4 linked regions of the Astyanax mexicanus genome follow. The protein of the gene in region 2 interacts with the protein of the main gene of each other region in a pairwise test. Links are inferred from orthologs where the notes say so. Each region holds a gene or a part of one and is shown on either strand. Other genes may lie near its edges. The genes, in order: rbm42, snrpa, trir and leng8.

Evidence for each region.
Region 1: the proteins of snrpa (region 2) and rbm42 interact in a two-hybrid assay, tested with the Homo sapiens proteins (2 studies listed by BioGRID and IntAct). The link is inferred for Astyanax mexicanus from reciprocal best matches to the Homo sapiens genes SNRPA and RBM42.
Region 3: the proteins of snrpa (region 2) and trir interact in binary tests that used the Homo sapiens proteins (3 or more experiments, as listed by UniProt). The link is inferred for Astyanax mexicanus from reciprocal best matches to the Homo sapiens genes SNRPA and TRIR.
Region 4: the proteins of snrpa (region 2) and leng8 interact in binary tests that used the Homo sapiens proteins (3 or more experiments, as listed by UniProt). The two-hybrid records come from large-scale screens. The link is inferred for Astyanax mexicanus from reciprocal best matches to the Homo sapiens genes SNRPA and LENG8.

What each region holds. Positions count from the first base shown.
Region 1 is NC_064408.1:113,944,190-113,951,604, forward strand, and holds the start of rbm42 (RNA-binding protein 42), read right to left. Parts: upstream 3,022-7,415; 5' UTR 2,867-3,021; intron 1-2,866. UniProt on the Homo sapiens protein: Binds (via the RRM domain) to the 3'-untranslated region (UTR) of CDKN1A mRNA.
Region 2 is NC_064416.1:32,625,488-32,633,381, forward strand, and holds the start of snrpa (U1 small nuclear ribonucleoprotein A), read right to left. Parts: upstream 3,010-7,894; 5' UTR 2,894-3,009; intron 1,987-2,893; 5' UTR 1,983-1,986; coding exon 1,910-1,982; intron 805-1,909; coding exon 632-804; intron 537-631; coding exon 363-536; intron 243-362; coding exon 66-242; intron 1-65. Other genes in the region: c9h19orf54 (UPF0692 protein C19orf54 homolog), read left to right, coding at 6,199-6,365, 7,084-7,152, 7,382-7,506. UniProt on the Homo sapiens protein: Component of the spliceosomal U1 snRNP, which is essential for recognition of the pre-mRNA 5' splice-site and the subsequent assembly of the spliceosome. U1 snRNP is the first snRNP to interact with pre-mRNA.
Region 3 is NC_064410.1:18,318,828-18,325,711, reverse strand, and holds trir (telomerase RNA component interacting RNase), read left to right. Parts: upstream 1-3,883; 5' UTR 3,884-4,808; coding exon 4,809-5,096; intron 5,097-5,574; coding exon 5,575-5,652; intron 5,653-6,089; coding exon 6,090-6,197; 3' UTR 6,198-6,571; downstream 6,572-6,884. Other genes in the region: mcoln1b (mucolipin-1b), read right to left, coding at 1,666-1,702. UniProt on the Homo sapiens protein: Exoribonuclease that is part of the telomerase RNA 3' end processing complex and which has the ability to cleave all four unpaired RNA nucleotides from the 5' end or 3' end with higher efficiency for purine bases.
Region 4 is NC_064413.1:6,576,850-6,583,826, reverse strand, and holds the start of leng8 (leukocyte receptor cluster member 8 homolog), read left to right. Parts: upstream 1-3,954; 5' UTR 3,955-4,237; coding exon 4,238-4,278; intron 4,279-5,857; coding exon 5,858-5,996; intron 5,997-6,861; coding exon 6,862-6,977.

The sequences.
Region 1 (7,415 bases), on a different chromosome or scaffold from region 2:
ATATTTAATATCACAATCTCTAATTTCTAACTAGAGAAAGCAATATTGATGTACATATAATATAAAAATAAATAATAAAAATAAATAAAAATAAATAATAATAATAGAAATAAAAATCAGAATTAAAAATTATGTTGTTGGTGGGATATGTTCTTAATAGCTCACAACTTATGGTACAAACATAACCTACTTGTATTTCAGTATTATAGTTAAGGAAATGTGTAAAAATGTGCATAAGAGTTCTCTACAGGTTTCTGAAAGAATCCAACAAAATTCAACTATTAAAATTCACACACTCACAAAAACCAGGGGCGTTTTAGGCTGTGTGTACAGTCACATGCTGTGTTGATTATATTGATGTCTAATTCAAAACTTCTGAATATTTTAATACATTAAATTTAGGCTATAAAATTTGGTTCATATTCCGAACTCACTTTCCGACTGTAATCCATCGTGTCCACATCCACTTTGCTAGGTGGCAGTGTTGTAAAAACATAGGGTCCTATCGCTAGGTGGCAGTGAAAACATAGGGTCCTAGAACTGTTGTGCATTATTGGTGGTGCTGCCACCTACTGGCTGGCTAGGGGACCTAAAATAGTGTGACTGAGTTCTGTTCTTCACCATAGACCACTACGGCTTCCATGTCTAAGCGTTTTTTCCCTATGGGCTTTTCAAAAACACGTCTCTGTCACATTCTGTGGTAAATAAATCTGTTCAGAACCCTGTATGTTTTATTCTGTGTATATTTTACTCCTGAACTTCTCTGGATCCTCTGAATTATGAGATCATTTATTGCTAACTTTAAGCTAATGCTACAGTGGAGTGAACTGACCTCCCAGCACCGCTGCAGAGATTAGCAGGGGACTGTTTTCAGCGCAACACCAGAGAACTCCGGCCGTAAGTTAGGAGCATTTTACACACAGCTGGCCCAACTAATGAACTAACTGCCCTTACTGAGAAGAGCTGAGAGCATCACAGCATAAAATCACTAAAACAGGTCAGTGATACTCCAGAACCAGTTGTAACACGTTTTAACATTTACCTTCTTTATTATGCAGTGAAATAAATTGGTGTTTCTGGTTGGTTGTTGCCTCAGTGAGGGCAGGTAGTTAGTTGATTGGTTGATTAGTTAGTTGTTTATTTGGGTCTGGTGTTGTAATTAGTATAAACTAATGACAGCAATTTAATACTAAAGCCTTCGGGGAAGCGTTGCTGGACTGAGAACCATTCTCTCTTATTATCTACCTTTTAAAGCTTTAACACAGACTACACTGCTCAACATCACACTGCTTAACATAACTGAAAGAGTTTTCACCTGTTTAAATGCTTTAATGATCCTCTGTGAAGAAGCATAATAATCAAAAACTTGATCTGACCAGAGTTCGCTGTTATGCAGAATCCAGTCCGGGGACATTTCCAGCCGCTGTGCTGTGACGTCAGTTAAGCATTAGCTTACAGTTAGCATTTTTCTAAATAAATGTACACAGAATAAAACGTACAGGGTTCTGAACATATTTATTTGCCAGAGAATGGGACAGAGGCCAGTTTTTGAAAAGCACATTGAAAGTCGCCGTTTACTTGGACGGCTTAGACCCGGAAACCCAAATATGGGCATAAACAACATGGCGCCAACTACAAAATGACGACACGACTTCAGTGGTATATTCATTCATTAGTAATTGTATGCATCATCTGAATGGGTTTTAGGTGCTATCTGCTACATAAACAAGATGAAGTTGCTAACCTTTATTTATAATATAGGACTGATACCACATTTTTCCTCCATTTTCTTATTAGTTTGCTGTCTCTGCCTTTAAATGAATTTAGTTTAAACCAAAGAAATAAAGTGATTGGTAGTGATCCATATGGGCTTTAGACCCAGGGTTGCCCTAGCATTACCCAATATCTTTATCTAGTGCCTTCAATATGGTGTGAGCACACTTTTAAACTTGGTTTGTAGGTGACAGGTTGTTCTTTTAGATCAGGGTTCTCAACCCCTTTTTAGTATATAAATTAGTGTGAGTGTATTTTTGATTTATTGTAATATTGTATTGATTTATTTTTTTTTCAAATATTGATTTCTGAACTCTTAAAATTGTATGAATATGAACTTCGATCTGAAAGCTCTGCATCTTTTTTGTTGTTGTTGTTGTTGTTGTTATTTCAGCCATTTCCCATTTTCTGCAAACAAATTCTCTAAATGACAATAGTTTTATTTGGAATTTGGGAGAAATGTTGTCCGTAGAATAAAACAACAATGTTCATTTGACTCAAAAATATACCTATAAACAGCAAAATCAGAGAAACTGAAGTGGTCTCTTACTTTTTTCCAGAGCTGTAACGTTATATACACCAGTTTATATGAGGTTTAAAGACACAGGACTAAAGTCATCTTAAGAAATAACGTTACAGAACGACTGAGAAATGGCTGTTACTTAATTAACTTGGTCAAATAACGTTAATCATGAAAAACAGACTTAGAAGTTTGTTAGCTTCAACAACTTAAATTAGTCAGTTAGCTAAATAGTTAGCTAACGCTAGCTAACTAGCTAAATAAATAAATAGCCCGTATGAACGCAGAGTGGATTATACGGAATATTAAATGCGTTTTCTGTCAGACTGAGTCTGTTACTGCAAATTTACCGAGTCTAATCCTGAGTTTTAGACCTTCTCTCTGTGTTCAGTAGGTTACAGACCCTGTAGCTACTCTGCAGCCGCGCTAACGAGTTAGCACAGCTCAGTTAGCCTAGATTAGCTCAGTTAGCTCAGTTATCTCGGGATAATAAGTAACTAACAGCGTTAGAAAGCCTGAAACACAGCAAGGAAATCTGTAGAGCTTGTAATCAGTTAAAACTGGACTCTTTACCTCTAAAACTCCTCGCAGGGTAAAATAATCCAGGTAATAACCCCCAGCTGAAGCTAGCTAGGCCGGCTAACTGCTGGGTACTGAGTCTCCTCTTCCTCTCTGTGTGTTTGGTCGGTTAGTAAACCCGTTAATGTAGTTATATGGTGCAGTGCTGCCTCTCACTGGACCGGAGCCGGATTATACACCAAACACGCGATAGAGGGAGCCTACATAGGAGTCCTAAATGAATGGGGTGAATGGAGCTAAATGGCTAAAAACTCAAAATTATCTATTCAAATGTATTTTAACTCCGGGGTAATCATAATTTTTCAATGCAGCCAAGCATGAAAAAGTTTACCAGCCAATAAACCCTCAAAAGTATATAGCTGCAGCCCCAGAGACTGCAGTTTTAGGACCCCGCAGTTTCAGGACCGCAGTTCTAGGACCCTATGTTTTCGCGACAATGCCACTTACCAAAATAAACGACTTACTACACCTTAAATAATATCACACCTTTAGCTACGTACATATTTAAAGGCTTATTACACTTTTTAATGTTTATTTTACCCAAATATATGATAGCTAGGGACTTTATTTATCCCTAATGAATTTTTAGGAATTTACTAAATTTCCTTCGGGATCAATGAAGTATCTATCTATGTATCTATATTACTTTGTCTTAGAACTCCCAACCACAAATATCGGAGACACAAGGAAGATTGGGGCTATATGTATTTGATATCTGAAATGGATTCAAACTACAAAAGATATATTTTTGGAACTTCAAACTACTCTAGTGTCTATTAGAGCTGGGCAATATTTAAAAAAAAATCCTCAATATTCTTCAAATATATGAGCAACTCTCAATTATGTTCAAGATTTTCAGTTTTTTTATGAATAGTAAGCAGCCCCCGTGAAACTTACATGCAGCTGTTATATTGAAGATGGTACAAACATAACCTAATTGTTACATGCATCTTGAACAGCAGACAGGATAATCAGTAAAATTGAAATTTTTCATAAAATTACTATTACAAATAACAACACGTATTGTTCAAGCTTATTAACTTAACTTTATGGTACAACATTATTTAATAAATAAGTATTTAACACCCAATACAGTAGGCTAACGTTACATTGATTTAATGTACTGAAACGTAGTGAACATATGATACAGACATTCTTTGTCATCTTTTATATATAACTAAAAATATAACTAACAGGCTATTAGATGTTTTGAAGCAAGCTAGAAGTTAACACGTAATGTTAGCTGCTTGTAATGCTTTTTAGGCTAGTGTTACGTATACAGTCACAATCTGTGTAGATTACATTGATGTCTAATTCAAAACATCTGAATATTTTAATACATTTAATTTAGGCGGTAACTTGATTCACATTCCGACTGTAATCCATCGTGTCCTGTCCACGACCATTTTTTTAGGTGGCTGTCTAGCGAACACACAGGGTCCTAGAACTGCGGTCCTAAAACTGCAGTCTCCGAGGCTGCAGCTATACACTTCATTTTTTATGATTAAATCACAACATACCAACGTGTAAAAGGTATATCAACAAATATTAAAGTGTTCTTTTAGTTTTTTTTTTTTTTCACTATGGAATACATTTATTTTCAATTCAGCCAAGCATTGACAACTTAACCCTTTAATGCGCAACATATACACACCCCCTCTAAGGCACAACATGGGTCAAAAATCCCCTGCATATATTTCCCAGCTTTTTTAATATTTCATGGAGTTTCTTTTTAAACCAATTTATTTTATGATAGAAAATTCCAAGTGTCATTTAAATATGTTGCTTCTTACTAACACTGATCATTATTAAAAATATATATATATTATTACTTGAGGAACAACATTTTTTTAATTACTATTTAAAATGCACACACATGGCTCAACAATGACCCATTCATCCGAAAGTGTGATATATTAGTAACGTGCAAAGTAAGATGGCATTTTTTTCTCTGCTAAACAAATTGCTTATCTTAAAATTAAAGACGATTTAAAATATATTTTACAGGATTTTTGATTTTTTTTCAGGTAATTTAATAAATGTTGAACTTATATGTTTAAACATATTGAAAGTTAACTGTTCAGGTTAATTTGTATGGTGTTTAAATTTGTTTGCTTATTTTGCTGCTGAGGCGGCATGGTGGTGTACTGGCCGTTCTATGTGGAGTCTGCATGTACATGAGTGGGTTTCCTCCGGGTACTCTGGGTTGCTCCCACAGCCCAAACACTTCTGCTTCTGCTGCTTTTACTTAATTTTACATGCTATTGCTCTTTAAGTACTAAATTTGATTACTTTTTATTTTGCATGATTTGCAGTTTTCCATAGTTTGCAGTTCTTAATTCAATTGCATGTTCAGATTTCAGAATTTACTTATTTATTTCTATTTTATTACTTTATTTTGTTTTCTGTTTTGGGTGCACATAATTGCTGTTTATTTTATTTTTTTAGAATACACCTAATTAAAGATGCAACGGGTTCGTTTTGATTTATAATACAATAGTAATTTCTGTGACAAAGAGCCAAGAGTTGGCCCAAAGACTATCTTCAGCTCCTCCATATATATATGCATGCAACGCTTGTTTAGCCAGTCAGAGCGCGAGTCTGGGGATGCTGAGACTGAGGGGCCACAGTTGGGGGCTTGCTTACAAAACGGGGTAGAGACGACTTCTTTTGAGGAACAGTGGAGATAGTGGACGGTGGACAGCTTAGCAAAGTTTTATTTCATAAAGTGTAGATTGTAAGTATTACTTTCCAAGTTGAAGGTGTACTTTTAAGAATATACATGCTATGTTAACTGATTAGCTTTTTGTATAGCTCTGTATAGCTTCTAGCTGTTTCTGATCTGCCTATTATTATTACCAGATAATACCTCAAAGAAGTGTGTATCTTTGTTCAGATGTTAGTGTTGCAAATTTTAGTCAGTGATGTGTTTCAAGTAGTAAGTATTACTTTTATATCTGTTGTTTCAGAATCACACACTCACACAATCGAATTGCATTCATCTATTCTGTATATAACATACTTAATCTGCTCCAATAAATACTTTTTTCGGAGTACATCATATCCAGCATTTTAACCAGATGCAACACAGTGGCTTCAGCTAGCTCTTCTTAACAAATTTCATTCATAATATAATAGGAATTTAATGTAAATACTGCCATGCCTGCTTTTGTCTGGACGGTAGCTGTCAATACCATAGAGCAGTGGTTCCCAACCTATGGGTCGCGACCCAACCTATGGGTCGCCAAAAATCCACGATGGGTCGCGAAGCCCTCTTGATTTTAAGGGGTTTAATTTTAATACTATATATAGTCTAGGGTAAGCAAAATTCGCCGCGCTGCGCTGCGCTCTCTCTGTCTCTCTCTCTCTCTCTGGCGCGCGCGCGGGCGCTCTCTCCGGCAGCGCGGAGCTGAATTCAGCGCGAGGCTGAATATAATAATATAATAATATAAGAATATAAAACTCAATTTAGTTAAATAAATGAAAATGAGTGAGGGCCTGTAAAGTTAATCAATTATTGTCCAATATTTGGACAGGTTGAGGTTTTGGTGAGCTGTTTTACTGATTTGAAACTGATATTATTCTTTTTTTTGTTTGTTTGTTTTTATTTTATATAAATTATTTTTTATTCATTTTAAATAGTTGTATTATTTTATTGATCTAATTATTTTTTTCTTCATAAGATAAAAATTCCTTATGTTTTATGTATCAATTTTTCCTTTTGTACCCCAACCCAATTATATACTTACATCTTTTACATTTTGGGGGGGGGGGGGGGGGGGGGGGGGGGTATGTTGGGTCACCAAAGCTTACAATGGTAAAAATATGGGTCCCTGAAGAAAAAGGTTGGGAACCACTGCCATAGAGCACCGTTGTAACCTGCAGCTGTAGATGGCGCCATAGATTTAATTTTGTTTTATGTCGCCATAGATATGACGGAGAGGGCGGAGTTTGTGTAGTCGCAGTTAAATGACAGCGTCGCGCATAATATTAACCTTTTTTAAGGAACACGCGGTTAGAGGTAAGCGTGGCAGCAATTGCATTTTTCATTTTGCTGTATCATTACAGCTCAGGAATTTAGAAAATAATAGATATTTTAAAGCAACAAACTGTTTTTCTACTTTTTAAAATGGCACAAAAATAAAAAGATATTGTTTTTGGACAGACTTTTTTATTACATAAAGATGTACTTTTATTACAAAGTTTTTTAACATTGCTACAACTATTTTCTTACTCTATGCACAATCTCTCCACGTCTGCTGGTGTTTATATTTCCACATACTTGTTCCAAGTCTATGTGATTGCTGGATTCATATGGTCAGATCAAAAAATAGGATATACATTACAGTACTACATTTGTGAATATAATGGCAATAGACCTATTTAACATTATACTTTTAATATGTACATTACCTATCAAAGAGTAGAATCATGTGAAAGCAATTAAATATGTGTAGAGCAGAGAAAGATTTTAGAGTAGAAATTTTAGAGGGTGTTTTAAAGTAACTTAAAAGAAAATATTAGTAAACAAAACTAAACTGAT
Region 2 (7,894 bases):
AGTGTAAATTAAGTTTCTATGCATTGAACTAGTCTGCATGTAGTCCCTGATGTGTTATTTCATACCTGCTGAGGCATCTGGCCAGGCATTTGCCCTGGCATCATCTGACCAGGAGGCATAGCACCTGGGGGCATCTGTCCAGGACCCATACCAGGTGGTGGCATCATACCAGGAGGAGGCATGTAAGGAGGCTGGCCTGGCATTGGCATCATACGAGGAGCCTGACTCATAGGAGGCATTCCCTGCAAAATAAAGCAATACATTTAGTTACCATTGAAATATTCAAAAGTCTCCATACTTGCAACTCATGTTTTACAAATTAAACATCTTGCTAAAAATATCAGATATTACTATAAACTCACCGGCATAGCAGCAGGAACTCCAGCCATGCCAGGGGCAGCAGCTGGCACACCCTTCTTTGATGCACCGGCTTCAGTACTTTTAGGCTTCCTCTTCTCCTTCTTACGATCCCGCTCCACATACGTTCCCTTCATCTTCGCGATAATGTCAGAGTCTTGCTTGGCATACTGAATGCGCTAAAGAAGAAAAACAGAATATTTATCAAGTTTCACACATTTATTTACAATCGTAAACAACAGTAGCCAATGCCATTAAACTAGCCAACACATACCATGGGTTTATCATAAAATGGGAAACCCTGCATAGATCTCAGAGCGTTGGAGGCACTGTTGACCTCTTTGAAAATGACGAAAGCCTGACCCCTCATCTTCAGAGTGCGGGACACAAGGATGTCCAGGATTTGCCCAAACTGGGAGAAAATGGCATAAAGGGATTTCTTTAATTCTGTGGAGACAAAAAGATTGTTAGTTCATAGACTTAACAGTATTAACAAAAACCACCTAGCTTGCAAAGGAACCAGTTAAATTGTCCCAATACGGTTAATCTGGTTGATCAATTTAGCTGGTCTACAAATATTATAAATATATCCTAAACTAGTCAACCAGAATGACCAAGCATAATTATCAGCATATTTTCCAGAACAAAATGCTTACGGAACAGAAAGACCAGCCTAACCCCACACACTGTGCTGAGTGTAAATAATTGTGTAAAGCATCCTTGGTGTATAGAAACGCACTAAAAGTGTAACTTCATTTATTCATTCATGCTGGTTCACCAGACTGACTCACACTGGCCATTTGAAACCTACCAACAAAAGCTGGTCCTGAATTTACTTAGGGCGTTTTCACACCAGCACTTTTTGGTCCAGTTAAAACGGTTATTGTACTCGGGTGCAGATCACAACAACCGGACTGATATTACTCTACTAAAGGAGGTGGTTAAACTCTGGAGCGGTTTGCTTGTGTTAAGAACATGATCCAGTCTTGATCTGACCCAGATATTGAATATACTCCTTTTATTTGACCTAAACTACTTAAAAGGTGCAGTTTAATCTGATATACTAGCCAGATAAAAGTAATTACCACAGCTATGAACACTGTTTCTGCTGATTCATGCTGTTTACACGCTGTTTCGTATGTGCTGCACTCACTACTTACAGCTGCACTGCACATCCTATTAATAACACTGTTAAAAAGCACAGCGATAGAGCTTAGTTGTTAAAGCAGCTTCACACTGCACAGATATACATGCTGGAACACAGAATCTTCACTCTATATTAACTTTCTTGCTCCCATGCCAGACAGCTCTGACCATTCAGAGGAGGTACTGAGCTTGTGTTGTTTATTGGTGTGCATTTTGGTGTGTAAGTTTGTGCCTGTGTGAAACCAAACCAAACAGAGGGAGAAACGCCCCAAATAAACTCATCAACTGATCCGGACCATAGAAACCAACTACAGGTGTGAAAACGGCCTTAAGTTAACTTCTTTCGGCAGAACAACGCTAAAGATAAGGGCAGATTCAAATGTATCTTTCACACAGGTAAACCTACCATCTTTCTTGATTTTCTCATTCAAGTTGTTGATGTAAATGGTGTGATTCAGACGGAGCTCCTGGCCAGCCATCTCTCTAAGGAATGAAACAAAAATATTTTAAATAATAATATGTTAAACCACTTAAATACTACCAAATAACTAATTCAAAGAGAACACATAAGTTACTAAGTTTCGCAGAAGGCTAGATTAACTAACTAGCTATGCTCCACTGTGGAGCAATGTGATTAGCGGACTAGCTAGCTAAGTGTAAGTTAGTTAACCTAGCTAAGTGGATAAATAACCCAGAGCTATTAGCCTACCATATTTAAACATATATGTTTACTGTTCTCTAACTACAACTAAGCTGTACAAAAATGTAAACAGGATGAACCAGAATCGAACATGTGTATGGAGGGTATGGATAGCTTAGCTACGAGGCTAACTCGTAGCTAGATAACTATTATCTAGCTACGAGGCTAACTGTGGAGCAATATGACAAACTAGCTAGAGAAATAAGCAAGTTCTTCAATTAAAATATACATAAAATATATTAAAATGACAGCTTCTTCAATTAAACCTGTAAAACATGACAAAACAATGAAAACGGGTGCACTATAGGTTCGCTATCCTTTCTATCTAACGTCGGCTAGCTAGTCGAGACGCTAACAAGCTAATAGCGGCGCTTGTTCAAACCAGCTGAGGCTCAATCCCAAATAACCACAAACGCCCTCCAGTACAAATGCGTTAGTACACAATGTGCTATACTATATCGTCCCCAATGTACCCCAACTAGTGCACTAGACCACTCGTAGGAGGCAATTTAGGACAAGGCCCAACCTAACCGGGCAACTTGAAGCGAAATAAAGAAAACCACTAAGCCTAACCAAGCTGCCTGTGTTTAAAGCTCTATTAATTAATTTCATAAAACTTTGCCTACAGAAAAAACGACCATATATTACTCCACATACAGATAAATAAAATAATGATAAAAGTATACTCACAGCGGTCAGAAACCAACAAATAAGGCTTATAGTAACAAGGCTGTTAGCCAACCACCAACACGCCGCACGGGAACAGAACGTAACCCTCTCAGGAAGTCCCGCCTCTCTAAACATCAAGCTCTGCGATTGGACGTTTATCTTCAGATAAAGTCTTCGATTGGTTAGGTAGTACCGCTGACTTTGATTCTCATTGGCTATTGAAGACTACTTTTACAAGTTCTTTGATCTGATTGGTGTGCCCAGCAGAGAAGCTTTAGAAAGGAGAATACTCACTTATAAATCTCACCTGGGATCATCTGACAGTAGAGAGGGTGCTCCCAAGCGGGTCCAAAATGTACTACATGTTTCAGCATCACACGCATAATTATTAAAGCTTTTAAACTCCAGTTATAAACATTTTAAACATGTTCTGTCTCCAGCATTAGCTCACCACCCAGTCAGCTCTCAGTAGCTGTAACGCTAGCGCCTTGAACCTATAAAGCAGGTAAGTTTTCTTTGCTCTTTTAGTAAATTAGTTTATTTTACTACCAAATTAAAGAAATATCCTGGACAGGTTGTTTTTCTAACTATGTTTTATTTGAGTTTTAAGCCGGTTATCTCCATATACCTCTATTCTTTGAAGATTCATTCGCGGGCTCCCTCTTCTAGCGGTTGAGTGTAATTTTCTAATATAACGGGGGAAGTTGAAAGTAAATGGGCAGTCTTTTTATAAACTTGCTGTGGTGATTACTCGCGCCTCTCAAGAAGTCCCGCCTTTCATGCATCTAGCTCTGCGATTGGACATTAATCTCCAGGTTGTAATGCCAACTTTTATTCTCATTGGCTATTGAAGACTACTGTTACAAGTTCTGTGATCTGATTGGTGTGCCCAGCAGATACTCTTTAGAGAGGAGAATACCCTCTAACGAATCTCATCTGGGTTCATCAGACACTAGAAAGAGAGAGTCCAAAATTAATAGATTTATATGGAGCAACGGAGCAAAATCAGAGTTTATGAAGAGTTTATAAATGCTTAATCATTTTATATTAAAAGAAATGTTGCTTATTTTTTCAACACAGAACAACATTAGGGAGATGTTTCAGCAACACAGCCATACCTATTAAAACTTTCAAACTATAATTATAAAGCTTTTAAACTAATTCTGGGTTAATCAGATAATAGAGAGGGTGCTCCTGACTGAGTCGAAAATAAAGGGGTTTATAATGGAACAACTGAGCAGAATCAGAGTTTATAAATGTTTAATAATTTTCATGTTTAAAAAATGAACGTATTTTTTTCAACACAGAACAATATTAGCTAACAACAATGTTTCAGCACCACAGCCATAACTATTAAAGCTTTTAAAACTCCAGTTATAAATCTTTTGGTCAATTTTAGCATCAACCAGACATCTTTCAGTAGCAGAAATGCTCGCGCCTTTTCTTGCCTTAACCCCGTTTACTGTAGAAAAACCTGAAAAACATAGTTAAAACTTGTTTGCTTTTTTTAAGAAATCTCTTCGACAGATTTTTTTTAACTTTACTTTAGTTGACATTTTGCCGTTTAGCTCCATTCACCCACATTAATTCAGGGACTCCCTTGCGGGCTCCCTCTAGCGACTGAGTGTAATTTTTTTTTTAAGTGCGCAGTCTCTCCATAAACTTGCTCTGTCAGATTCTCAAGAAGCCCCGCCTCTCTAACATCTAGCTCTGCGATTGGACGTTAATCTCACTGCCGACTTTGATTCTGATTGGCTAATGAAGGCCGCTTTTTCAGGTTCTGTGATCTGATTGGTGGGACTAGGCTGTGTGTCGCTGGAATGTAGCACCGGTCTGTGTTTGTACTGTAAGTAGTTGAATTTGGTTCATTTTGACTCGATTTTAGGATAATTGAGGCTTTAATTTACAGTATACTCAAGTAACGCGAAACAGACCTGTAGTTTAAAGCAGTTAGATCGGGTTTAGCTGTAAATGTGTCCGCAGGCTGCGAGTACTTGGACATATATCCTTATTAGGAAGAGGTGTGTGTGTGTTCAGACTGCAGGCTGAGTTCTGAATCAGGTCTGTACAGTAGTGAGTGTTAGATTTAAGCTGCAGTAATTGTGGTGTTGAAAAAAACAGTGACATTCTGTATTAGAGGAGAAATCCGGTGTTAAATTTAATTGGGTTGTGGTAAAACATACAGAGAGCCTATGGTGACATGTTAAAAAACTATTAATGCGTGGCCACGACTTATTCAAGGTTAATAATGCTTGGCCAAAAGTCGGAAGGCATTGGAACGAGTTTTTTAATTCGCCATTAAGCGTGGCCAAAAGTTCTTTTTTTTACACCTAACAAAGCAAGCAGCTCTTAGGGGCTGTTCGCAATATGACTGTCTCCATCTGAGCCTGTGAACTTTTAGTATGGAAATTAAGTTGCTTTTATTAGAATTATTTCATGTCTCACTGCAAGAGACTCCAAAATATCACCATACTTCATTCCAAGATGAAAAAAAAAACAGTTAATTCTCTATTTTCTTACAACAGATTATTCTTGGATTGGAGCTTTGATGTAATATTATATTATACATATCAGTTTCTTCATGGGCATTAATTTACAGAAAAGCAAGCTTTATTATTGTTTGGCTATGACTTTATTATCTCGTTCCCACGCCTTATAAGTCGTGGCCATGCATTTTTTTTTTAACATTGTGTCACCTTAGGGGCTTCGTACAAACATGTTTTACAAGAACAAGCTTTTGTAGAATAGCTCACCTCCATTCTCCCCCAGCATTCCCAAATACATGGATTTTAGTCGATACTCCCAACAGGCTTACAATAAAGTGCGTCACAGAGGCACATCTAGCAGTCTCTTACCATGAGATACACTTTTCAAAAGTCCAGAAACTTTTGCTACTCCTTCTCTACTCCTCTACTGTTGACTCTTGATGAACTGAGCCAATCAAAACACGCTTTTCACACTTTCGGCTCACCTCTAATACCGGCCAGCCAATCACAGCTGCTCAGATATGGCAGTCAGCACAGATATGGCTCTTCTTTTAAGCGTGTGTTAATTGTGAATGTTCAAACTCAATAAAAAAAAAATTATTGAAAACTAATTTATTAATTATAAAATCCACAAATGACTTCCTTGAAAAGATACTCTGGGTTTTTATAGAGAAGCAGGAGAAGCACTTTTACACCCTCTACTGCCTGAGACAGAACTGTATGCTGAGTTTTCCAGGGTGCAATCAAGGGTGTTTATTTTTTTTAATGAGTATATATTGTGACTTGTGTCTGTGAAAGATCTTTTCTTTTCTCACTTATTAGTTCAGCCGGTAAGAGGCCATGTCAGGGGATCTTCCACCTCCACCTCTTCCACCTCCACCAGCCTCTGTTCTGGCTCCCCCTGTGTCCAGTAAGAAGAAGCTGTACCAGGCTATAGCTGAGAGGAAGGCCCCTGTGGAGGGAGACTTTGAGGAGGCCCGGTTACTGCTCGCCCAGAGAGAGGGCAGGTATAAGACCCAAAACCCAGAACAGTTCCGTACATAAGACTAAATTACGAAGAAGTGTAGAAAAAGTGTACTAGTGCATCTCAAAAAATGTAATTGAAAAGTTACTTTATTTCAGTAATTCATTTCAAAATGTGAAACTCATATATTATATAGATGTATAACACACTGAGTGATCTATTTTAAGTGTTTATTTATTTTATTGTTGATAATTATGGCTTACAGCCAATAAAACCCAAAATTTATTGTTTCCGAAAATTAGAATATTATATAAGATCGATTGGTACTTTTGGCAGTGTGGGAGGTGTGCCAAGTCCTGCTGGAAAATGAAATCTGCATCTTCATTAAAATTGTCAGCAGAGAGAAACATAAAGTGCTGTAAGATTTTCTAGAAACACTGCACTGACTTTTGAGTTGATATAACACAGTGGATCACATATATGATATAACACCAGCAGATGACATGACTCTCCAAACCATCCCTGACTATCAGTAAATTTTGCATTTGATTTGGAATTTAAGGGTCCAAGCTGCTTGAGGTCTAGTGTGAAGTTTCCACAATCAGTGATGGTTTGGATGGTTTGTGATAATATGTGATAAAATCATGTTTTTTGTGCATTACTGGGGTAGACTCTATCTATATTTTACTGTTAAATGGTATATTTATTGGCATAAATATACATATGGTTGTGATAAGTCATACTATATTTTCTTCCTGAAGTTTCAGAAAGGATCTTGACTGGGTGCTGTGCAACAAATATGTGCCGTCATTGATTCAGGATGGCCCTAAGTGAGTAAAAAATAGTATTCTTTTGTAAATCTGATATATGTAATTACAGTCACATATAGAATGAATATATAAAACAAGCAGTTTTCTTTCATTGACCAATTACTTCTGGTTTAAAGTGATGTATTAAAGTGCTCTGTTATGGAGAATCAAGAGAGACAGAATTCATTACAGTAGTGGTAATTTTTATGCTTGTAAGTTAAATGACAACCATATTTGTGATTTTTTTTAGATGTGGTTTAGTGGCGTTATGGATGGCAACCCATCTGCTAAGGCCTACAGATGCAATATCTGTGGAGAAAGTCATTCAAACAGCACTGGAGAAAGGCTACACTGCCCAGGGGGAGATGTTCTCAGGTATGGTGATCTGACCTCTGCCTTTAACCCATGCATGCGGTGAACACACACACTGGCAACATTCAGGTATAGGTCATTGACAGGTGTGAGATTCTTTTTATGTGCGGTCAGGCTGTTCTGCAGTCAGCCATATTTTCATTCGCTAATGTTGTGTGTTTGGCTGATTTTCCATGTTCTAAAGCAGCTAACGCTGCTAATGCAGGGCTCACATTAATAACTTAACTTAAACATGATGCTTTGTGATGTCATGCATTATAAACACATGTGACTGTCATTGATTGGTTAAACTCTTGATATTACCCTTGAACCCAGATATTAAACCCACAACTCTTGAGTGTCAGCTTGTCAAACCCAGGTAATGAACCCATAGCTCTAAATGACAGCTAAC
Region 3 (6,884 bases), on a different chromosome or scaffold from region 2:
GCTGTCAGTTTCCACTGTGAGGAACATAATGAGGAAATGGAAGACTACAGGTACAGTTCTAGCTAAAATCTCAGATAAGCAGAGGAGAAGGATTGTGAGAACAGTCATAGTCAACCCACAGAGCAGCTCCAAAGACCTACAACATCATCTTACTGCATGTGGAGACACTGTGCATCGTTCAGCTATTAAGTGCACTTTACACAAGGAGAGGCTGTATGGGAGAGAAATGTAGAAGAAGCCTTTTCTGTGCACACGCCACAAACAGAGTTGCTTGAGGTATGCTAAAGCACATTTGGACAAGCCAGCATCTTTTTGGAATAAGGTGTTGTGGACTGATGAAACTAAAATTAAGTTATTTGGAGGACGGAATGCATGATGGAAAAAGAACACAGCATTCCAACACAAAAACACTTTCTACCCACAGTAAAATTTGGTGGTGGTTTCATCATGCTGTGTAGCTGTGTGGTTAGTGCAGGTATTGGGAATCTTGTTAAAGTTGAGGGTCTCATGGATTCCAGTCAATATCAGCAGATTCTTGAGAACAAAAAATACCTTTAACCAAAAGCCAGGCTCTCATTCGAAGCTATAGGACGTGTTTAGACTCTAAACACTTCCTATAGCTTCGAATGAGAGCCTGGCTTTTGCAGAAATAACAGCCTCTAAACTTTAGAGGCTGGTATTTCTGCAAAAGGAGGATCTACTAAATATTGGTGTAATTTTTATTTTGCGATGCTCACATTTATGCACCTGCCTGATTTTGTTTGAAGAATTATTGCACACTTTCTGTAAATCCTATAAACTTCATTTCACTTTTCAAAGATTTTTTAAAGAGTAAACACTGTTACTGCAGAAAAGGTGGGTCAAACAGGCGTTCTGTCCAGTTATGCTACCCATCAGTATGAACTTCTTACCAGGCACTGCACATGTGCTGACCCACAGTTTTAATGAGTGAACTATGTGCTGATAGTTCTGATCTTCGCACGTACATTTAACAATCTTAACTCACTTCCAAAACTGAAAATGGCAATTAATAATGATAATAAAAAATGAAAAATAGTAAACCAGCAAAAATACAAAAATACTTTCTAATAAGCTCTCTTTTTCTAGCTTTACCCTGACAAAGTTATTTACACTAATATACCAAACCTCTTAACTGGACTTCTGCAGGGATCATGTTCTAATATGGTGCTTTTTTGTATTTCTACCCATAAATATGACGCTATACGAGTAGCTCAGTCAGAACTCTGGCTGGACGAGGAGGAGGATAATTAATAATAGTACAATTATTTTAAAATGCATCTATAAAAGAGGCATTTGCTGTCAGGCAAACATTGCTGACATAACATGAAGACCCTATTATTTATTAACAACTATGAAGCTTAATTAAAGTGTATTATGTGTTTTAAAGTGTGCTAATGTGTATTCATGAGTATTTAAGTGTATGAACGTGTATTAAACTTACAGGTGGGTAACCCAGGTCCAGAGAGTAAAAATCCATCCCAGGGTTTTGTACCAACTGCCTGGGCAGCTTTGCTCTAGCTGAGATATGCACAGAGCCGCCCTGACAATTAGTACAAAACCCTGGGATGGACTTGTACTTTCTGGACCTGGGTTCCTCACCTCTAAAGCTGCAGAAGGTGATGTTTAGTGAGGAGGTGGTCAGACCTGTGTCCTGTGCTCCGGCTCTGGGGGAGTTCTCCATGCTGCAGTGAGGAGGAGCTGAATCAGTGAGTACACGGGGACAGCAGTGTGTGATACAGATGATACAGGAGATTCAGGAGGTGAGCGGATCCCGGGCTGGGGAAAACCTGCAGCTTCTCTCTCATAATAACCCGCAGATCACAACAGCCCAGCGCAGTAAACACAGCCAGCTTCCGGGCGGGTCACGTGACTGGTTTATAGCGAGCCTGCCCGCTCTCCGCGCTGCATCAGTAACTTGTTGCCGCCGCTAGAGGGAGCCCGCGAGGGAGTCTTCAATGAACACAAACATATATTAATGTATGAAAATAAAATTTTAAAGCTCCAGGTTGTATATACAATTTCCCAGATATAATGTGTTTAATATGCGCTCATTTTTCTGTCTAGTACCCTGTTGGAGCCTCTAGTCTGGATACAAGAGGAGTATGAGATGGTTGGGCATAGAGGTGTACAGGTTGTGTATGGTATCCTGCAGCACATTTACACACAGATGTTGCAGTTGGGCCTGTAGATCCTGCTGAAGCTGCGTCCAGCAGCTCCCATAAATGCTGGATTGGTGATACAGTGGTATGAAAAGGTTTGGGCACACCTGATAATTTTCATGATTTTTCTTCATAAATCATATATTTGGGCACCCTTGTCATTTCATTGATTTGAATACATTTTATGCACTGAAACTGTGTTGATCTCCAACATCAGAATTGATTTATTAGGAGGAGATACGTTCTGTCATTACTTTTCCACCGCGCTCCGCAAAACCAGCAAGCTGATTGGCGGTTTCTCCTGAGAGAAAAATTATTTGGGCCTTTCATTTGGCGCCCCCTGTAGTGCAGCGCCCCTATGCGCATTGGCTGCATAACCCCTTTTAAGTTGTATGTCTGGCTGCATTTTGGCTCCAGTGGAAACAATAAATGGTAACAGAGTGACCAAAAAGACACAAACCATATATAAATACTGTAAGTAAATCCTACACATGACTGTTTCATAGGCAGTTGTACTAATCCCTTAGCTCTGTACTGTATTAAAAAAAATGTTCTGTCTCTGTTAATTACAAGAGATTTAGGAGAAAAAACACAAAGCATAGACTTAATATGACTGGTTTTGGTTTGCACTTATTGTTTGCACTATATAAGATCTAGAAAAGTTTTATTTTTATTTTTTTATTCTTATTCTTATTTTTATTTCTTATAAAATCAATGTGTGAGAGAAACCAGTCTGTTAAGTTTGCATTATATGATTTTGTCAAATAAAACTCTAGTTTTCAAGCCATTTTTCATTTTTGAAAATCTCGTCTCGTTCTTGTGAACCCAGTATCGTGTCTCGTCTCGTGATATTAGTGTCTCGTCACACCCCTATTAAATAATATTTTATATTATATAATAAATATAATTAATCTGTTATTTTGCAGAGTAAACACTTGTGGGGAGAAAAATTGCTCATTTTCTGAAAATTTTATTTAATTACCAGCATACTGAACTGTGATAATTTTAAAGGCATTTCTAAAAGCTGATATTCACATTTAACCAGAAAATCAAGGCCTTTAACCCTTTCAAATATTTTATTAGGTATAAGATACCAAAAGAGTTGTAGGTTATTTAACGTATACAATCTCTCAACCATTTAACCCTGAATATCCATCCCAACAACACATTAGAAATATACAGCTTATATATATATATAATTATATATATATAAAATACATTTATAATGAATCTTGTTTCTCCAAGAAAGTTAAATATAATGGAGTTAGCTAATGTAATCAGAGAGACATAAACAGGAAGTGACGCAGATAAACAAACACGTTTAAGTGTGTATTCTCCTCTATAAAGACTCTCTGGCCGCGTCACCCTCCTATCTCCCGTTATAACCGCCAGAGGGAGCCCTCGAGTGAGTCGGCTAAATATAAATATAAAAATATATATATATATTTTTTATTATTATTTTTTTTTATTTTAATCTATCAATTAACTACATCCGGCTACAATCCGTATGTCGTATCTTAACTACTAACAACGAACCTAACTCACTCATACAGAGTTACATACTGATATTACCATGTTGCCATGGTAACGCGGTTGTCACCAGTACAGGCAGTTGTTTTTATAATTTATGATTATAGATATGAACGGCCTTAACTGCATGATTTATTGGGTAACATACCAGTGTACTGTAATATTGGTAATATTTCATTAGCGTTATTATTTAATATGTACATATTGTGTTGTTAAAAGTAACGTTATTTCAACACCCTGTGGAGAAAGCCATTGTTTTTACCGAGCTCCGAACAGGCAGTAATATATAATGGTTTTCATTGGTTTAGTTAACGTTACTGTTTACACCCGCTGCTCAGGAGTAATGAGTTATAACACTTAAAGACGTTATAACTAGCCTACGTTGCCTAATCCGCCCCCAGTTCTGAAGTTACAACCACGGGTTATAAAAGGGTTATAAGTGAAGTTTAAACGTTTTAAATAATATAACGTTTTATATATATGCTAAAATATGCTGTTCTGTGACGAGGAAAGTATGACTTTTTCAGTATGAAAATGATTTTATAATGAGTTTATAAAGTCTGAATTTACGCTCCATATGAACCCGTTAACTTTTGGTATCACTCAGCAGCGCCCCCTGGTGACGGTCAGGACTAAGGTGTAGTTGTAGTAGCGCTCCGTCAGGCCCGCAGGGGGCAGCACTCATATCAGCAGCAGCTGCGCCGCATTCCGCCTTTGTTCCTTCTGATGCAGAAGAAAGTGTAGAAAGTAAAGATGGCGGCGGAACGGGAGCGGAGTGTTTTCGGGGGATTTTGATAGAAACTGCGGCGTTTCAGGAGCTTTAACAGCCCGAGCAGGCCAAGCCGCGGGGTTAGGTAGCGGAGGGAAGGCCCGCAGGGTGATTGCGGTGCGGGTTTAATCCGGTTCATATCTTTAAACCCGGAATAAACACTACTCCCCCCTCCAGCGCTGCAGCGGGGCCTGCTCCCTCTCCCCGCCGCGCGGAGCTTTGGGCGGATCCGGGCTGATAAAGCGGCCCCCGGGCTGAAGCCTCTCCGGCTGCGGGTCACAGAAAGACTCGGTTCTTAAAGAATCAAATCCTAGAAACCTCCGCTCAACATGGAGGCCAAGCGGAGCCGCGCCAAGACCCAGCCGCCCAGCAGCGGCAGCAGCGACTCCAGTGGCGGGCCCGCGTCCCCCGCCAGTCCCGCAGCGCCTCCCGCCGCTGCCGGTAACGCGTTTGCCAACGACGGGAGCTTCATGGAGCTGTTCAAGAAGAAGATGGAAGAGGAGGAGAGGAGGAAGAGGGAGCTGCAGGAGGAGGAGGAGAGCAAGAGCGAGCAGATCAGTGCGGTCGCGGGACAGTCCTCTCTCAGCAAGAAGACGCTAAACCCGGCGGCCAGCTTTGTAAGGGGTTTAGCAGTTGCTCTAGCCGGTTAAAGACGGCCGCGCTAAATTAACCCTAGCTAAACACTGTACACTAATACTGTACATTACTGCATACTGAAACATTGCTGTCTTAAAAACACGAGAAACGAGCTTTATACATCTAAAATGTGCAGAACAGTAGAAACAGCAGCCACACACAGCTCTTTACTTCACCCAGTGCTCAGTGTGTGGGAATGGGCTTGTTATATGAGTCCAGCCCATCGTGATGGTTGAAGGTGACCATTGGGGGTTTGTCTCTGTTGATATGCTATTGGAGATGTATCTAGTTGTTAGTGTATTAGCAGGGCGGTTATGGTGGTGCTGTTTGTTTGTTGGGTGGTCTCATGTCTCGCTGTTGGGACGGGTGAAGCATACTGTAGATGCTGTCCTAAGTGAATGGCAGGCCTCCCCCCAAAAACGGCCCCTATAACGGTTTCAGTCTTCTCCCCTAACCCAGGTGGGCAAGCGGAGAGGCGGCGCCAAGTTGGCCCTCAAGACTGGCATGGTCGCCAAGAAGCAGAAACTGGATTCGGAGGTGGGTCAGATTTTCACTCACTTCCTTTTCATGCCATATTTGTGTCAGTTTAGAACTGTGAGATGATGCTTCCCCAAAAGGAATGCTGAGCAGCATAATCAGCAGGGACATTGCCAAACGGTGGTGGGATTGGAGGATAATCTCTGACCTGTCCAGTCCCTTTGGCACTGTCTAGAAAAGATACCGTCTTGGAGGGCTTTAGTCCATCATAGTGAGTAGAAAAGTGGATTCTTATAGGATTACCCCTATATCTTTGCCCCCCCTTAGATGGCGAAACTGTATTCTCTACTCCAGCTCTGGTTCAGTATGGTATACCAGTTCTGTCTGATGGGAGCTGGAGTAGAGCATTAGAGTGGGCATGACTTCCCTTCCTTATGTAGTAATGACTGATGTGTTCTTCATTAGTAGTGAAGTTCCTTTGCGTGTTTGGTTTACAGGCTGAGGCGGGTAAAGGAGACGCCTGGTCTAAGTACATGGCCGAAGTGAAAAAATACAAAGCTCACCAGTGTGGAGATGACGACAAAACCAGACCGCTGGTCAAATAGACTCAAAGGAGCAGCCGCCAGACCCTCTCTCTCTCCAGACTGCCAGGCCACCGAACACGCAGCCGATGAAAAGCCTCACTGCTTAATTTTTGTTTGGTTTAGTTTTATTTTTCTTCCCCTCGAACGTTTTGTTTATAGGTTCCTAATTTTAGTATGTATGCGGTCTGTGCCAGCTGCAGTGATGTATGGTGATTCAGATGCTTTTTAAAGGTGTCATTTGAGCCTTATTATGATAATTATTGTTATTATTACAGAACGTAAGAATATTTGTGGTGTTTGTTGTATTTGCACTGACATCACACCATGCTATTTTGTACCTCGGCTCCCCTTCCACTTTCCGTATCACCTGAATTAAAGGGTAAAATATCAAACCACTGCGGGCTGAATAGAGTGATTGTGCCATTATACCATTCATAGCACTTTAATCAATGCTTCAGTCACACACAATCTTGGGGAGAACTTTGTTTTAAGGTAAGCTCCTTTAGGCGTAAAATATGAAACCAGTGTAAAATTAAATATTTTTATATAAAATATATTCCCATTCACACAAAGACAAACACTTTCCTGAGCACCCTATCCTTGTGTTTGTAGTACATTATTAGAAGAGACACATAAACAAAAAAGTCACAATTCTCCTTAAGTAATGTACTGTTGTCCTGAAATGATGTCTTGAAAACCTGAAAGGTG
Region 4 (6,977 bases), on a different chromosome or scaffold from region 2:
GTTGGTGAACCACTTTGGTGATGATCATGCTGGCTGAACAACTGATGTTTTTTTTTTTTTTACTATAGTACAGTATGTTTTAGGGTCAGTCTTCCAACATTAAAGTCATATTATTACCATCTTAAATTATAACGTAGCATCTCAGAATATTGATCTCAAAATAATGACTCGATATCTTAAAATAATGACTTAGCATCTTACAATAATGAGAAGGTATCTCAAAATAATGACTTAGTACATTAAAATATTGGCTCAGCATCTCACAATGATGGGATATGATCTCAAAATGGTTTATTAGTTTTATTTATTACTATAGTACAGTGTGTTAGGGCCATTGTTTCAGCCAATACATATAGTTATTATTTCAGATTTTGACTTAGTATCTCAAAATAATTACTTTGTATATGAAATAATTAGACAGTATCCCAAATAATGACTTACCATCTCAAATGTTGACTTAGTATACCAAAATAACGACTTAGCATTTTACAATAATGGCTTAGAACATCAAAATAATGACATGGAACATCAACATAATGACTTACTATCACATTATTTTGATATACTATCTTATAATAATGTGATATCCCAAAATAATGACTTAGCATCTCAAAATATTGACTTGGTATATTAAAATAATGACTTAGCATATCCAAATGATGGCATAGTATCTCAAAATAATGAGATAGCATCTCAAAATAATGCCTTAGCATCTTAAAATAATGACTTGGTATATCAAAATAATGACTCAGCATCTCGCAATGATGAGATTTTTCTCAGAATTGGTTATTAGGTGTACCTAGTATAGCTTAATATGTTTTAGGGTCATTGATCCTACGTTAAAATCATATTACTTAAAGAATAGTTGTAATATTTTGAGAAAATCAACTATCTAGCCTAAGTTAAATAATGTAAAGAGCTCCAGCAGCCTGTGTGTGTGTGTGTGACCCGCTATTTCGTAACGTGGTCAGATGAGCACCGCAAAATTTAGCCACAAGCAAAAACCCACAACAACAAATTCCAGAAAAATCTAACGAGTTAACAGGCTTCAGTACAGACTTTACCCATCTGTAAACTAACAGCTTTAGATAATATATAATATAAGTTAGATAATACTGATTCTCTGCAGCCCAGCTCAAACCCCAGCCCGTGCTGCAGGTCGATCAGCTGATCTAAAAAACAACAGCAAAAACCCAGCGTTACCTTTCCTTTACTCAGCGGAGCGGATTCAGAGATACCGGATCAGAACCCTGCGCTGGATCACAGCCTGCCCGCGGCGGTACCGATACTACCCGCTAAACAATCAGCCCGATCCCCGCAGATCTCGCTATAGATCCCTTTAGCTCTATTTTTAAAATGTCGCCTGCTCCACTTCTACCCAAACAATAATACACCACCCCACGCCCCGCCCTATTCGCAACGCTCAGACCAATCACAGTCCAGCGCTGCGTTTCTACCCAATCGGATACGGGCGGAGGCGGGGATTGGGTTTGTTTACAATGATTCGATTCGTCAGTCACGCTGTCGATCAGCTGTTGCTCGCTCTTATTGGACCAATGAGAAGAGGGGAGAATAGGGCCAGGATCCTGAGATACGTGCCTGACGTGTCTTTTTTGGGCAGGAATGCTGGAAGCCGTGCTGTTCCTTTCTGCAGGAACAGCTCAAAAGAACACCAGCACACAGCAGCACTTCCTTATAGAAGCACTTATCACACACTAATATATATTTTTATATTTATACTATGAAGGTGTTTTTGTTTCTGCCAAAAAATGTTATTTTTTTTCAGTGAAGCCTTTACATAGCTTCTGTAAAACCATTACCTCAAAATAACGACCTAATATCTAAAATAACGACTTAATATCTCAAAATAACGACTCACGATCTAAAAAAAAACGTAGCATCTTAAAATAACTAGGTAGAATTTTAAAATAACAACTTAGTATCTCAAAATAAGAACTTACTATGTCAGAATATTGACATAGCATCTCAGATTAAAGAGTGTGTATCTCAAAATGAGATAGCATCTCAAAGAACAATGTATTTCATTATAATGAGATATCTTAAAATAATGGGCTTCCATACTTCCTTATATTTATAATGGGGTGAAAAAGTATTTTCCCCCTACAGATTAGATGCCTTGGAGTTCTCCCATGGAGAACATTTTCGACCAGTCTTTTTTTACAATAGCCTTTACTGAGGCATGTGCGACTTGCAGTTCTTTAAATGTTGTTCTGGGTTTTTGGACCTCCTGGATGAGTTGTCCATGACCTTTTAGAATAGTTTTGGTCGGCCGGTCACTCCTGGGAAGGTTCACCAGTGTTCCATGTTTTCTCCATTTGTGAATATTAGCTCTCACATGCGGTTCGCTGGAGTCCGAAAGCCTTTGAAATGACTTTGTAACCTTTTCCAGACTGATAGATGATCAAAGACTTTTTGTTTTCTCATCTGTTTTTTAATTTCTTTAGATTGGGGTATAATGTGTTGCTTTTTAAGATCTTTTATCTGCTCTATGTTGTCAGACAAGTTCTATTTAAGGATTTCTTGATTACTTGATTGATTCAACTACAATCAGATTCACTCTTGATGGATCTTGATAAAGAGATTTACCTGAATAGGGTTTTTTAAAATGATGAAAACAAGCTGAAATGAAATAGGAGTAACAAGGCTATTTTTAGAGAGGCAGTTTTTTAGTAGAAAGCACAGAAGTAGAAGTAAGTAAAGTAGTCTGTTAAATAATTACTCTATTTAGTACAGATAACATTTCTACTGAAAGAATATGGAGGTATTTTGCCTTATAGTGTATTATGTTATTTTCAATTAAATTAATAATCAGTATATAATCTTAATCATTTTTATCAGAATCAATATATAATCTAGTATGACCATGATCTCTGTTTTATTTTCTTTGTGTGATTCATGTGCTGTGTATACTTTGGAAAATAGGCTTCAAAGCCTTTTTCAGGGAATCAGTATAGTTTTAACCTTAAAACAGGCTGATCTAAGGCTCTGACTCTGTGTGTTGAGGAATTTGACTGCCTGGTGGAAGAAGCTGTGTCAGAGGCTGGGATGCTCTGGTATCTTCTGCTCGTTTAGTCATTTGGACTGTGGTAAATTTGGTAGCGCGACTAAAGGAGTGGGTTCTATACAAATAGCCAATTTTAGACCTAACCTTAGTCTGTAACTTGTTAATGTGTGTTGGGAATGACAAGGTACTTTCTAACCAGATACCCAGGTACTTATATTCTGTGACCTGATTTATTTTATCACCTTCTACAGTAGTAATATCCTGGTAGGGCTGGGTACAAAACCCTTCTTGTAAAAACACAATACCTTTGTCTTAGCGGTGTTTATTTGAGGATTTAAAGTGAAAAAAGCTTGTTGAGGCCTAAGAAAATTATTTTAAAGTAAGTTAGATCTGTCTGCCTCTGGAGACGGACCAGTTGCATAAAGGACTGTGTTATCAGCATAAAAATAAATAAATTAATCTTAAACACAGAGAGCAAGTTTATTTATGTATATGGAGAACAATGTGGGCCTAGGATTGAGCCCTGAGGGACACATTTTTTTAACTGAAAGTGTCTCTGAAACAAAGGCTATGTTCACACTGCAAGCTACATTGCTCAAAAAAGCTTTATAAAGGGAAATGGATGTGTTAGCAGCTCAGTTTTTACAGTTTTTGTGTGCATGTGAGACATTTCAAGAACAGATTGGTTCACATAACACACAGATACAGGTCAGTCATGAAAAAATCTGATTCACATACAACCTATCAAGAAAGAATAATAATAATAATAATAATAATAATAATAATAATAATAATAATAATAATAATAATAATAATAATAATAATAATAATAATAATAATATATACATCTAAATACATTTTTAGATTTAAATAACTAAAAATAAACATTTTCTCCACCAATTAGAGGAGAGGACGCGTTTACGTCACTGAAGTCTCAAGCCAGGAGCCATTTTGTGTTGGGTGTTGACGCGCTGGATGCGGTTAGTTTATGTTATGGTTTAAACCGTATTGTTTAGAGACAGCAGTGCTCTGGGCTACAGTGTATTGTTTTATTTAGCTACGTAATCGCCATATTCTCCTAGATTGGGCGCTTCTAGATTGTAGAGAGCGGAGGAGTTTCTGCGTTGGAGTGAAATCCAGTTTAGCTAGTGAGCTAATTAGCTTAGCTTAGCGTAGCTTAGCTGTGATAGCGGGCGCTGACGGCGCCTCAAAATGGCGACAAACGCGGCGAAGCAGGCCTCGACTCCCGGCTGGTAAGATACTAATATTCCATAATTTACCTCAATAAACCTCCACAGAATGAGATATAGATATTCAGAAACTGTATCTGAATTGGGAATTCGTAAGCTGTCTTATTTGTTATGATTTAAGGTAACTAGGTTAGCTATCCTACGTTAGTTACTGTAGTGAACAGTTCTTAGTGTTTATGTGTAATGTTAAATACATCCTAACCTACTAACTGGTAAGTTAACTGGTTAAGCTTGAACCTGAAGCTGTTAACCTAGCTAACCTATCTATAAAGTTAGTTATCAGAATAAGAGAGCTAGCGTTAGCTATAGATTAGTAACGTTAATCGTTGTATTTGTATCCTAACCTACCTAACCCTCATTTAGCTAAGCTAAAGCTAGCTATAATTTATTTAAACGCAAACTAGGGTGGGCGATATGGCTCTAAAGTAATATCACGATATTTCAGGGTACGTTTGCGATAGCGATATATTCTTGGTTATGTGACAAAACACTGAATTTTTAACAAACAACTCCAGAAACACAGTAACTTACTGCAACAAAATGAACATTACATTCTATTTAGTGCAATTAACGTTACTGCATACTGTGTGATATGATGTGGCACACCCCTAATTGAGACTTTTAGCAGATTGTAACAAATAAGACGTCATGTCATGATATTAATGGACTAAATACATATTTATGAAGTAAAATCAATGATGCTGGACAGATATAATCTAATAGTAAAGGTTTCATTGGAAATGAGAGCAGTGTGATTTTTTTCTTTTTGCTACAAACAGCAAAAAGTTGTACCCTCATGTCCATTAAATATAATTATAATTAATTTGTGATGATGAAGATATTCACAGATGACAAAAAACATGATATGGCACAGGCCTAGAACAAAAAAAAAATTGGGCTTTATTTCTGATAGGGGAAAAATTGGCTGATTATTTGAGGAAGACAAAATGGTAATATAAGTTACTATTTGTCATTTAAAAATGCTTTGAATCTAAAACAATACCACTAATAATACAGTGACCGCTGACTTCAAATTTACATAAAATGTGAGGATTACAATATTTTGAAATTTTTTCTCTTCAGGAAAACTTTTGATTGTTTGATATTGGGGTGTGCCATATCATATCGTGCACAATAATATTGCCAAAATTTTTAATATTGTGCACAATTTACTCTGAAATATCGCACCGTATCAATTGCAGTTTGTTGCAGTAGTGTATTCTTGATTTTATTTATTTATTTATTTTTTAGTTCTGTGTTTTGTCATATCGGCAAGAGTATCATTATCACGAAAATACCATGAAATATTATAATATTATTTTAAAGACATGTCGCCCACCTTTAGTTTGATGTTATATTTGCTTTCAACAGTAACAGTTTGTATTGTATTCTAGCTAGCTAGCTACAGCAGTTAAGCTACACTGTTAAAATGTAGGTTTGTACATTTTGTTATTCCTAGTCTGTGTGAGCTGAAATGTTAAATATATAAAAGGCTTTTCATAGAAAAAACATACTTGCAACTTCTAAATTAAGGTTTCACTGTTCATAAACGTAACTACTGTGGTTTATCTCTGTTTTCCAGGTCATATGGAAACACTTCCGGCAGTGACGCTCCGGTACACGAAAACCCAGAGTGGGAGAAAGCCAGACAGGCTCTGGCCTCCATTAGCAAAAGCCAGAACTCTACCAAGACCTCACCAACCAACCGCACCACTGCACAGGTTAGAATAGTAGGGCTGCACAATATTTAATTCATAACTTCTCTGCAATACTTGCATGGCAGCGGTGAACCTATGATCACAAAGGTATTTAATGCAGGAAGAGACTCGGCCATTGCATGTTAAATACGCTGGTCATTGAGTAAATAAAATAAAATTTTTCTGTTGGTCAATTTAGATTTTAGTCTATTTTTTTTTCTGCAGTGTCCTTTATCTTTGCTTCATGTGTGTAGGTCTTCTGTTCCTAGCCTTTTCTATCTTTGCTTAAAAGCAATAGAAACAACTGAACATGGTAATTAAGGTCCCTTTAATGACCAGAATAAGTTTTAAATTTGAAAAGTTCAGATATTTAGGAAGTAATTATGTCATTTGTTGTCGTTGGGCACTTTTGGTGACCAAGCTCAGAGTAAACTCAATACCCTTTGTGTAGTTTGGTGCAGTTCCAAATGAATGATTAGTCGACATTGAAATTTGGTGTCAACATAATTTTAGAATCAGCATTGATTGTCGACTAATCGTTGCAGCCCTACTCTGAAATTTTTCTGCGGGAAGCCATGTCCCAGTGTTTAGAGAAGAGTGTGGCACAGTAAAGTTAATAACACTGGTGAGGTATCCTTGAGCCACAGTAGATCACATGTGCCTGAAATTTAAACTGTAAGAGACAACCAGCTTTTAGGTAAACAAACCAATGCCATGGGTAAGTTAGCTTAGCTAATATTAATGTCCTAGCCCTGTACAACATTTTTTTTAGGAAAATGTGGGAAACATGATGGAAATGGTTTCCTCTGTAAGTACATTGTTTTATGCTAAACCCAACTCTGTAATGTTTGTTTTTGCTGTACGAATGATGTTTTAATTCTATGTTTAGGCTGGACAGTACCAGACTTCAGTGACTGACTCTTCTGCAATGCAACAACAACAACAACAGCAGCAGCAGCAGCAACAACAGTACTATCAGTGGTATCAACAGAACCAACAACAGTA